Linked DNA regions of Schizosaccharomyces pombe. Each later gene encodes a partner of the first gene's protein in a complex. Each region holds a gene or a part of one and is shown on either strand. Other genes may lie near its edges. A codon is read from its position in the direction of its gene.

Evidence for each region.
Region 2: the proteins of arp3 (region 1) and arc3 are in contact, whole or in part, in a crystal structure (PDB 3DWL), measured with the Schizosaccharomyces pombe proteins. Residues at the interface, in NP_592898.1 of Schizosaccharomyces pombe: Phe219 (codon at 3,773), Ser222 (codon at 3,764), Leu223 (codon at 3,761), Ile251 (codon at 3,677), Val252 (codon at 3,674), Leu266 (codon at 3,632), Asp281 (codon at 3,587), Val282 (codon at 3,584), Gly283 (codon at 3,581), Phe284 (codon at 3,578), Leu288 (codon at 3,566), Glu297 (codon at 3,539), Ile298 (codon at 3,536); in NP_596291.1 of Schizosaccharomyces pombe: Gly49 (codon at 1,320), Leu50 (codon at 1,317), Ala53 (codon at 1,308), Phe56 (codon at 1,299), Phe57 (codon at 1,296), Asn59 (codon at 1,290), Trp160 (codon at 891), Arg167 (codon at 870).

The regions. Positions count from the first base shown.
Region 1 is NC_003424.3:346,916-355,133, reverse strand, and holds arp3 (ARP2/3 actin-organizing complex actin-related protein subunit Arp3), read right to left. Parts: upstream 4,702-8,218; 5' UTR 4,658-4,701; coding exon 4,623-4,657; exon of another isoform or gene 4,560-4,622; coding exon 4,536-4,559; exon of another isoform or gene 4,464-4,535; coding exon 3,935-4,463; exon of another isoform or gene 3,840-3,934; coding exon 3,240-3,839; exon of another isoform or gene 3,175-3,239; coding exon 3,079-3,174; 3' UTR 2,838-3,078; downstream 1-2,837. Other genes in the region: GTPase-activating protein Gyp7, read right to left, coding at 1-1,234; SPOM_SPAC630.04C (uncharacterized protein), read left to right, coding at 2,207-2,707; GATOR2-SEACAT complex ubiquitin-protein ligase E3 subunit Sea4, read right to left, coding at 5,222-7,939. UniProt on the Schizosaccharomyces pombe protein: Functions as ATP-binding component of the Arp2/3 complex which is involved in regulation of actin polymerization and together with an activating nucleation-promoting factor (NPF) mediates the formation of branched actin networks.
Region 2 is NC_003423.3:3,110,615-3,113,886, forward strand, and holds arc3 (ARP2/3 actin-organizing complex subunit Arc21), read right to left. Parts: upstream 1,624-3,272; 5' UTR 1,591-1,623; coding exon 1,585-1,590; exon of another isoform or gene 1,539-1,584; coding exon 1,439-1,538; exon of another isoform or gene 1,359-1,438; coding exon 1,083-1,358; exon of another isoform or gene 987-1,082; coding exon 844-986; 3' UTR 586-843; downstream 1-585. Other genes in the region: SPOM_SPBC1778.07 (carnosine N-methyltransferase), read left to right, coding at 1-585; SPOM_SPBC1778.09 (GTPase-activating protein), read left to right, coding at 2,110-3,272. UniProt on the Schizosaccharomyces pombe protein: Functions as a component of the Arp2/3 complex which is involved in regulation of actin polymerization and together with an activating nucleation-promoting factor (NPF) mediates the formation of branched actin networks.

The DNA.
Region 1 (8,218 bases):
TACCCCCATGAAAAATTATTCCAAGAACTCTATGAACGTCAACCTGTAATTTCCCATGAGCATTAAACATTGAATTCCATTGCTCAACAGACAATGGATCATCACGCTTCACCCTCTCTTCTATGTACACTAGTTCAAATGGACCCAGCGACGAATCTTCTTCACGCTGTGCATCAGTCCAAACACCCGCATTATTGACAGGTTGAGAATTGTTACTCTCAGATTGCTCTACAATACCCTCAGCCCAACGAGCCAAAAACATTCGGGCTGGATCATATTCTTCAGTTAATTTTTGAACTCTCTTTGACTCAAGAAGCACTTGAAGCTCACGTGGAAGGTGTGGCAATATAGACTTGGTAACTTTATGCTCCATGAGTCTGTCAACTTCTGATTTGCCGTAGTTAGTGACCCGACTAAACCGCTCAAGCACAGTGAATGACAAATCATGAAGGGCACGGCGAAAAGGATTAAAGATAGATGATGAGCTCCTAGGCGTAGGAGGGGTAGAACTGGAGTTAAGTCGATTATTAGAAATGACTTTTTGAAGTTCAACTGATTGAAATGCCACAGTATCCTCAGGAGAAGGATTAACAAGGTACAGTTGTGATTCATGTGAGGACTGTTCAAGAGAAGCGTATTTCTTTAATTGCATCAACAAATGCGTTCCACCCCAGAACATATTTCCTGATTCATCGAAGGGATCAAAACGATCTCTGGTAATTTGCTTGCCATACTCAATAGTACTAATACATTCATCATCATGAAAAAAAAGAGGAGGGAGGCTCTCACCACTGTCTCTCAAATTAATCACTATACTACCATAATTCCATCCATATCTAGGAGGTCGAAATATAATTGAATAAATGCTGCACAATCGTACAGAAAAAGAGTAGTCCAAATGCTGAGGAATCTCTACCCATTCTCTAATAGAACCGTTTGAAAGGGTTTCCGCATTTTGAAATACGGAAAGATCCCTGGGACGATTTTTTAAAAACGAATCAGGAACCCATGATAACAAAATATCGCTTCCGGCCACTGATGAATTTCCTAGCGCCTTTGACTTAGACAAGGACAAATAGCCAGATATGTTATCCTTCATTTTCGATGTGGGATGAACAAACACCTTGCTTTTAGAGAAAAGGAGAGCGACCTTCGAATTGTCGATGTGTATGTCGACTGTATCATCTTCGACCTCTGTCATCTCTGGCATATCCAGAGATTCCAGCGTTGTCATTACAGGAATAGAAAACAATCAGTTAATTCCAAATTTTAAAGAAAGAGGAAATTGCTAAAAATCGTTTAACGCTGCAAAGGTACGAGACTTTGTTGTCTTGCAACAAGCACCTATAGCTAGGTAGTGGCGATGCACGTAAGCAAGCAGAGGGCTTAGTATAGTAAACGCATTAGCGGACACCAGTGTGCTTGACCTTAAATTGAATATGTTGAATTTTCTGATAATTATTTTTCTCTTTACAATAAATTATTAAATATATTATGGCTTTGACCTTTGTGATAGCTTCTCCTGTACGAAATAATCCGAATAACAAAAATTTGAATAAACATTTATCCACCTCAACTACTCTATTAAAAAGAACAACTGAAGAGATGAAAAATTAATTGCTTTAGATTTAGATGAAACAGATGAATCTCTAATTAAAAACTTTGCAGTTTCCATTCAAGCGACATACTAAACCAATCTTTTGTTTACAATTTAACGATCACCTCGTAGTAGCTCATTATTTAAACGGAGATCGTCAAATTCACTTACGCTGCATAACCAAGAGCAGAAATACCAAAAGTAATTAATTCATAACTAATTTGCCGATTGTGAAATAAATTTATACAACACAGTTAATACATAGGCGCACGGATGATCTGAAATCAAAGCATATAATTATACATGGTCAGCTTTTGGATGCTTCCGGTGACTGCCGTATCGTACCGTAAATATCGCAAAAAAATCCAGACTCTGGGGAAGGAGACGGGAAGCTTTATGGCTTATCTTTGTTTTTTACAACAGTTTTAACCTCACTTTTACAAACCTCAAAGTAATTGAGTAAAATTAAATTGGAAGAATAATAATTGCCTTGCTATATCAGTGAGTTCACTGGATTGTTGTAAATTTCTGACGTTCAGTCTTAATTGAGCCGTGGCAATTGAAATTCTACTGGGAACACTACACGTTCAAAATTATAATCAAACAAAAATGGGGGAAGAAATATCAGCCATAGACCTTGTGATGGCTAATGATCAATTGGTTTCAACATCAGATGCTTCAGATATCCCGTATGACCCTTACTCCCAGTTCTGGGGAAAAGTGTTGGTATTAACGTTTGGGATAATCTGCGTTGTGTTTGTCATATTTATGTTGCATCATGAAAGAATTAAAGCGTGTCGAACCATAATTTCTGCACGGGAACAGCAGAGAACACAACACTCAATTCACAGGAGAGAGCGCTCTTCTTCCGGAGCATCACAACAATTCGAACATCATGTTCGACAGACTGATTGCCTCCCTCTTTATGAACCTATTACTGCTCTTAACCAGCAGTACTTGAAAACTTTACCCACCACAAGCACACCTCCCCCGCCCGCAATATTTGATGAAAATGGTGAATTTGTCGGCGACGTTCCATCTGTTGCCGGTGCAATTGAACGCCCACCTTCTTATGAATCATTACCTGCTCCGCAAAATGATGAAGTTTAGTTTTTTTTATGATGACTACTTGATTGCTTCTGCTTTCTCTCAACAAATTCGTTGAGTACTTGTACACTTTCCATTTTATCCATCGTTCTTGAATAATAAAGTATTTATCAGGCGGAACCCATCGGTTTCATCCGTTTTCTTTTTTTTTCTCCTTTTACGTTATTAGTAATCACTATATTATTATTCTCATGGTTCTCATCATTATTATTTGGACAAGTTAATTATATACATCTTATTTGATATTGCTCAATGAAAAAGCCTGGAAACATAGCAAACCTCAAGTCTATTTCTTCTAAGGCTAATGCCTGCTCCATTAAACTTTTCATTTTAATCAGTAAATCCTATAGACGCAAAACTCATGATATATTTCATTAAAGAGAATTTCCAAAAATTTGGTACCTACGAGCAATGGAAGCACCATATTCTTCGTAATCTGCTTTGGTATGGCAATAGGATCCGAATTCAGGCTAAACATGTCAGTAAATCTCTACGGGTAAACTAAAAAATATACAAACATAAGATAATGACATACCGTTTGTGCTAGTAAACTGCCGCCAAACCAAACCGCATTTCGTTGACGTTTATGGGAGATAACATTAACGTCTACACCACCACTTTTAGCACCGGAGAGCATTTCACTGCGGTGAATACGCTCGTCAACAATCCGCTTGAGATCTCTTTGTAAGCGGTTGCCAAAGTTCTTAAACAAAGTACTACCACCAGAAAGGACAATGTTTTTATAAAGGCCTTTACGAACGTCAATGGGTGAGCTCTGTACGACGTTGTCCACAAGTTCCGGAAGAGGGGTCAAAAAATCGGAAGAAGCAATCTCAGGATTAAAAAATATTTCAGGTGCGAGGAAGCGTTCAAATCCTACATCAATAGTAGTAGAGTGTCCAGTAATTGATTCAGATGCATATTTTAAATAACGGTCGGGCTCACGATCAAATCTACTAAACTCCTTAACAATGTCCGGACAAACGTAGCAACATTCCTCTTTAATTCTTTCAGCAGTTTTGAGACTTGAATCAGGTTCATTGCGGTCACGTAATAAGGATTGAACAAAGTACGTAACATCACGACCAGCAAGTGGCATTGTCTTAATGGAAGAGCCGATAACATATCCTTCGGCCTAAGGTTTATCAGTTAGTAAAATTCGGGCATATATATATGCATTTAATGTTCAAAACTGTTTATCTAAGCTCGTATTAGATTTTTTATACATACAACAGGAATAATATGAGTAACGCCATCACCAGAGTCAACAACAGTACCGGTCAACGAACGATCAGTAACTTTTGAAGATGTCCAAGAGGCGGCAAGAGCCAAAACCGCTTGAACAGCAATGTAGAGTCCTGCACAGTTGAACGACTCAAACATAATCTCTGCAGTATTTTCACGGTTTTCAGGTGGATTCAAAGGAGGTTCGGTCAAAAGAAAATAATGGTCCTCTGGTTCACAACGTAAATATTTAAAGAGAGACTGTTGCCAAAAACGCTCCATATGGTCCCAATTTTCTATTTGTCCATGACGGATAGGATAGTCCAAAGAATATCCAGCAGACGCCTTTTTCAATGCATCGTTTCCAATAAAAAAGTCCAAGTCCTCAGTTGCCCTTTTGCTTGAGAGATGCCCACTGCCTTTCGAGGCCATGTAAGAAGGCTTTGATGAAACAGCCGGCCCTGAAGAAGCACCCGCAGAACGCGTCGCAATAACAGTGGGGAATACATAAGAAGGAGCATCGTTCCCAGCATAGCTGAAATTAAATTACTGTTAATAAATGCTCAAAAGAGAGATAATAACATCCTAAAACGACTATTACACATACCCAAGCTTGCTATAGCCGGTACCGCTAACAAATAAAGTTAGTAACTGATATTCACGAACAATTTAACTTCGCTACATCAATACTTACTTGTCCATTATAATGGGAACATTAAACGAAGCCATTGCTATTATTTTATGAAAAGGTAAGCGAAAGAGAAGTTGGTTCCAGTTGAAACTCTTAATATCGTCTCGCAACGGTCACCGATGTCGAATTACGTGGGTTAACGGGAAACATATGGTAATTTACGAGATGAGCCGATTACGTTAAATGCGAATGCCCGTATACAACCCACTTTGGATATCTTTACTAAGGCCAAATTAATTTACACAAAAAATTAAATATGTATTTCTTCAATACCAGTACCACCGGTTAAAATTACCAAGTTGCTAAGCTAGAAGACGCTTCTTGCTACTAGAAAATTAAATATTAACGATCTTGCGTTAATCCCTTTTCAGTAATAAAACTAACCACGTTGGTATTATCAAACAATTACAAATGTAGATAGCTATGTCGAATTTTTAAACAAATCATAGTATTAAAGACCTTATGCTTTAAACCTCTTAGCCTTAAACATTTTTAAGCTGTAATCATGGATTTTATATTCACTCATGTAGCAATTATTACTTGTGAACCAAACCATAAACTGTTATTTTAATGCTATTAATTAATGCTCTCATTTGCAATTTCTATTTCAGTTTGCATTCACAATCACAGTTAGGAACCGGACATATTGTATGAGTTGAAAACCATTCTGAAGCATGAGATGCGTGAGCTCCATGGCCACAATTTAGACAAAAGCTAAACCATAACCCAAATCTAGATTTCTGAAGATTAACTTCTTTGACATAGTTTTGAGGTTTTTGAGAAAAGTCATCTTTCTGAGGAACATCTTCATCTCCTAAAGAAAACCCACATACAGAGCACTTTGGAAGAGGCTGTCCGCAATGAGGACAACTTTTTCCCAAGTGTTTTGCTGGGCCTGCTTTACTGACACCTCGTTGAATTGGCGTTGGTAAATTATTACATTCATTCCTATTGGAGAAAGGAAAAATTGGTTTTCTACAAAAATTGCAGATAATGCGTATAGATGGCTCTGTAGCCTTTCTGGTTATTTCTCCTGTGTGATTTTTTGAGAGTTCTGTCCGAAAGATATCAAACTTTGCACGCTCACGGTAAAGTTTCCAGCGGTTTAGAAGCTCTCTATAACTTTCAGTCCAATCCTCTGCACGTTTATCCAGAAATTTCTTAGGTACCACAAATGCAGCAATCAATGCAGCAGTTTGAACATCGCTTGTATGATCAATGTAGTTCTGCAGAAGTTCCATTCCCAAAGGAGTTAAACCTGTAAGTAACAGGCCTTCTGGGTCGCCTGATTGCACTGTAGTGTGACATAAATCGCACAAATAATTACTCAAATCGTCATCTGGTAAAAAGCGAAGAGCAATTCCAAGACGATCTTTTAATGAGAGAGAAACTTCATCTAATACATCTCTCCAATCGGAGTTGGAAACATACGCAAATATTGCACGTAAGTATGGATCTTCCAATTCTGTACTTAAGTTACGAGACATTTCTTTCCACAATGAGTCACTTCCAAAGTTACTTAAGCCTTGCGATGTAATGTATCCGGCAACTGCTGTGGATATGGTCTTCTCCAGCTCATTCCCACTTGATAATATACGGACTACGTTTTCAATTTTTCCGTGGAAAAGTGCTAACCCAGCGGCTTTTACATGCTCATTCTTGCGAATCAGTCTTCTAATTTCCAACAACAAGTCATCATTTGACATTCCTAATCCACAGGCAAGTAAAGCGAGTTGGCGTAAAGGCCTTTTAGTTTGGATAGACGTAAATATATCTAAATCAAGTCTCTCAATAACATCTCTAGCAAGTCTTAAAATTTTTTTTTCTAAAAATTTGCTTTCTTTTGCTTCAAAAACATCGGACATGCTAGTCAATTCAGTATCCATAAACCAAATACCTAGTGCACCTTGATAGCTGAAATCTGTATCTCCTGTGTCTCCAAACAGTGATTCTTCTGATTGTCTATGGCTTAAGTGAATCCAAGACCATAGATCTTTTAAGTATAAATCAGAAACTAATTCTGAGTTTTTTTGGGAATCAAATTGGTAGCCCTTTTTGACGCGATCTAGTATTGTCCCTTGAATATCAGATCCAAGGACGCGGTTATAGGAAAGCAATACTTCATGAGCGGAATCCTCTGAATTGATTGAGTTGTTTCTTGTCGTTAGAAAGACTTTGGAGGAACAAGAAGACGAGGAATCGAAAGAGTTTTCATCGACAAATTCGCTGACATCAAATTGTGGGACATCAGAAAGTGTGTTAAATGGTGAAGAGTTTAAAGGATACAGTTTTTCTTTGAAGGAAAATATCAAATCATTATAAGGGTTAAATGAAAAGGGAATGACCTCATCATGGACAGAAAAAAGTTTCGGTTGTTCGTTTATGACACCCAAAATTTGAACATGAGTTGGAAAGGCTGTAGAAGGAGTAAAAAAATCAATGCCAGAACATTGTGAATTTGGTTTAACAGGATATTTCTTCTCATAATTTACAAAGACAGAATTATTTGCGGATCCTTCATTTCCATTGACACAAGGCAATAATTGACGAAGTGTAATCGAATTGTTTGACAAAACAGCCAATTGTCCAGGTTTCCATTCAGAATATTTCAGTGCAAATAATTGTGGATTTTTGGGCTTTTTATTTTCGTTCCGTAAAATAATTTGTAAATAATTATCGGATTTGAAGTATCGAGTATCAAAAATCGCAATGTCACCATCATAAGAATTTGCGGCAAAATAGTTAGGAGAAAATGGATCAACAACTATATTACTATAATATTGCGTATTGACGGAAGAAACTGAGTCTAGTTGCTGCCTAGTATCAATTATATGGACAGAACGCGAAGTTGATCCGGTAAGCAAAAGAGGAGTGTCTTTCTTATAACAAACGGAAGAAACTCCGTCTAGAGTAGAAGACTGCATTAAGGGACTACTCTTCGGGTCAGACAGTAATGAATTCAAGTCCCATAACTTCAAGGAAGACTCGTTTCGAGATTTTGCAAATCCAGCAACAAGATGTTCAGTTTCAGAAAATGCCAAACTATTGCAAGGGCGAGCATATCCAGGTGTTACTACTGCTTGAAATTCTGGATGCTTAACAGAAAGCAATGATATATTTCCGGTAGAAGAACCAGCACCCAATATTTCATTGTTTCCGTGAAAAGAGTCTATACATTTAACATTTTTCAATGATCTCCAAATAATGTGAGTTTTCCAATTTACTTTAGGGGAAGCTTTGACGGCGACATATCGAATCTCATCTGAGGAGCCGTTAACCCAAAAATAACAGCCATTCCTCTTTTTACTTCTATTTAACATTCTCTAAAGAGAAATTTGACAATTAGGCTTTACCAGAAACGCCCAAAATACTGCATAAACATTAAACAGAGCTTGATCGAAGCGTTCTTCAATCTCAACCACTCGTCAAACATAACGTTTAGCACTAATTTGCTTAACGATAGCTAACAGAAATGCCTTAACAACGGACTGAAAAGAGGCTGTCAAATTCAAAGGTTTTCTTTTTGCTATTGATGATTCTCTTAACAATAGTAGTATTAAAATACAGACCGGTTGCTAGATTAACTATCTTTTGCATAC
Region 2 (3,272 bases), on another chromosome or scaffold:
ATGCTTTTAACGTCGCATTTCATACTGAATTGCGTAAAGCAGGAAAATCAGTTTCTTGTGTATCCTTATATTCATTCATTTTCGAACCATGTCATGCGTGATGACCAGGTGCGTTCATTAAATATTCCTGATGCAGTTCCCTCTCAATATCTGCGGAATTCACAAAACTTTTCAATGGCAGCCGGGGATTTCCTGGAGGTATACGGCACCGAAGAAAGTCGTGATTCGTTTCAAGTAGTAGCTACCTGCTTCTTTATAGACACTACAAAAAACATACTGGACTATTTGGATACAATTAAAAACTGTTTGGTAGATGGAGGTTATTGGATAAATCTCGGGCCTTTATTGTATCATTTTGAGTCAGAAGGTACTTCTAATTCTAACAGTGATAGCCAGCAACAACCTTTCGTTGAATTGACTCTCGAGCAGCTGTTTTACGTGATGGATAGTATGGGATTTGAGGTTTTAAAGCACAATTCGGTCGACACGACTTATATGGGGGACAAACGAAGTATGCTTGAATGGATATACCATCCTCATTATTGGGTCTGCCGTTTGCAAAAATCAAAATTACGATTTCAATAAAAATTTTTGAACCAACATTGAATATTACGACTTTAATCATTCAAATATTCCTTTAGCATAATTAACAAAGCTAATTGATAACTTGTACATGAAAGTAAAGCGATTATTTTTGCATCTACTATCTACGTATAAAACTGCCTACATTAAATAAGCCATTCGTACGCTTCAAAAACTTTATAAGCCGCATTTGAAATAAAGGAAACGGAAAAACATAAAGGCTTTGAAATACAGTATGAGCCAAATTATTAATTAATAGACTCACAAAGCTTTGTTCATAAAACGTCTCTTGCTGAAGCAAGTCCACCACTTGCTGGGATGATCCTTTTCAGTTGCATATACATGGGACAAAAGACGATAAGCAAGTTCCTGACGAAATTGAGTAAGATATGTACGCATTATTTCTTTTTTTAATAGTTAGCAAATGAAAAAAAAAGCAAGAAAGCTATTAGCGGCACAAACATCTATATGTCTAATGCCACAGTTTGGGTGAATCTTACCAGCATCTTGAGGAGAAAGGGGAGGAGCATATAATGCATTCAAGGGAAAGCCAGCAGAGCCAGGAATAGAAAAATTCTCCAACGCTAAACTATTAAGTTGACGTTCAGCATCACGATAATTGAGTCCATTAACTCTTCCCAAGCACTCACTGATAAATAATGTTCCATAAATTAAAGTACGGTCTGCTGGTCCCTTAATCTCAAAATTGCGGAAGAAACAATTGGCGCGAAACAGCCCAATGCATTCATCAATAATATCCATTTGACTCTCATCAGCTGTATAAAAAATGTTAGAAAGTACTCTAATAACATTAAGAATAGTCTTTAAACAGAGTTGACAAATATCTGGAACATACCAGGATAAGCCGGTCCACGAAACTTGGTTTTCAACGGCAGCATTGCTATGTTTCCCGTGGTAGGGACGTCCGTAAGACTTAAGAAGGAGGAATGATAGGCCTTTCATAACATGTCAGCAACAAAAATTCAAAACTTTAGAACATACCGGCATATCTAATGTCTAGTGCTTATGATGTTGTTGGATAACTTGAGCACCTGCTGAATGTGCCGATAGGGAGCATTTCGTCAAGCATCAATAGTGATAAATTAGCTTTTCTTTAAACAAAATAGCGAAAAGCTATGTAATTACAGTAAAGCAATATAGCGTGTCGTTTTTTTGTTTTGTGATCGGGTCTCGGTCTCTACTTTATAACTAGTTTTCATCAATGGAAATGACATAGAGCCAATAAATTTGTAGCGAGAACCAAATTCATAAGCATTTGCACGAATGCATTTATTGCTTGAAAAATTATAAAAACGTCAAAAAAAGATTTTCATGTTTGGTTATTTTGATTTTGGGATCTAACGTACTGACTTATATGGGGATAGACGGTCTTTTGGGACCGTAAACATTACTACATCGGAAACAATTCCCCCCTGTTAAATCTTTCTGTGTTGGATATTTTAATACAGTTTAGTAGGTAATCTGTTTTCTCCAGAGTGACGGAATTGAGGATATATCTGAAAGAGCATGGAAAACCCTTCCCCAACTAGAACAACCAATTTGCAACGAATTCGGTCGTTGTACAGGTTACAAGAAGACAAGAATAATTTAAATATACCAGAACCTATTAATGGAAAAGTTCAAGAAATCGATACAAAAGAGTCATTGGAAAATGTGGATCGTTACGGAAACTATCGCTCAGACTTTAATGTTAATAATTTAGGGTTCTATAAAGTTAGTAAAGACCCAACATTAGATAAACCAAACCCTGCCAAACGTCTTGGCAATAAATTAATCGGCCATGATGACATGCTGAAGTACGTTGATGAAAGCATCTTCATGGTTGTTCCCGGCGAGTCGCATGACCGCAACGAAATATCAGCTAAAGAGCTTTCCCGTATTCAAAAATGGAAATCGATGTGTTCAATACACCTCGTTTCCGGTAATCAGCTCCATTCTTTTCGAAAAACTCGTAAGTTAATTTTACGTACATTTAAGGGGATTCCAGATTGTTGGCGATCTATTGCGTGGTGGTCCTTTCTTGTGGATTCTCTTCCTGATAAAAAACTGATTGACAAGTATTACCAATTGAACGAGCAGATTTGTGACTATGATGTTCAAATTGACCTAGATGTTCCCAGAACAGCTGCTACACATTTCTTATTCCGAAAACGCTACATTGGAGGGCAACGTTTACTATTTAGAGTTCTTCATGCTGTAGCTCTCTATATACCTCGTGTTGGATACGTTCAAGGAATGGCTTCTATTGCTGCGACCTTGCTCATTTACTATCCCGAAGAACAAGCATTTATAATGATGGTAAATTTATTGGAAAATAGAGGCATGGGGGACTTGTTTTCTTCCGGGTTTGATACACTTTTAAAGGCTTTTGACATGCTTAAGCATGAGTTAAGTTTTACACAATCAGGCAGACATCTGGCGGAAATTGGAGCAGAACCATCTGCTTTTGCTACACGTTGGTATCTCACTGTTTTTCATCAATGCGTGCCCTTCCATACTCAATTACGTATATGGGATCTCCTGTTTTTATTAGGTGGAAGCAAAGGTCAAACTGTCAGGTTATTGCAAGCCACTTCTCTTGCGGTTATACAAGGAATGTGGGACACGCTAATTGATGCAGACTTTGAAGTAGTAATGCAAGCTCTGTCAGGTGTTATTCCCATTCAAAA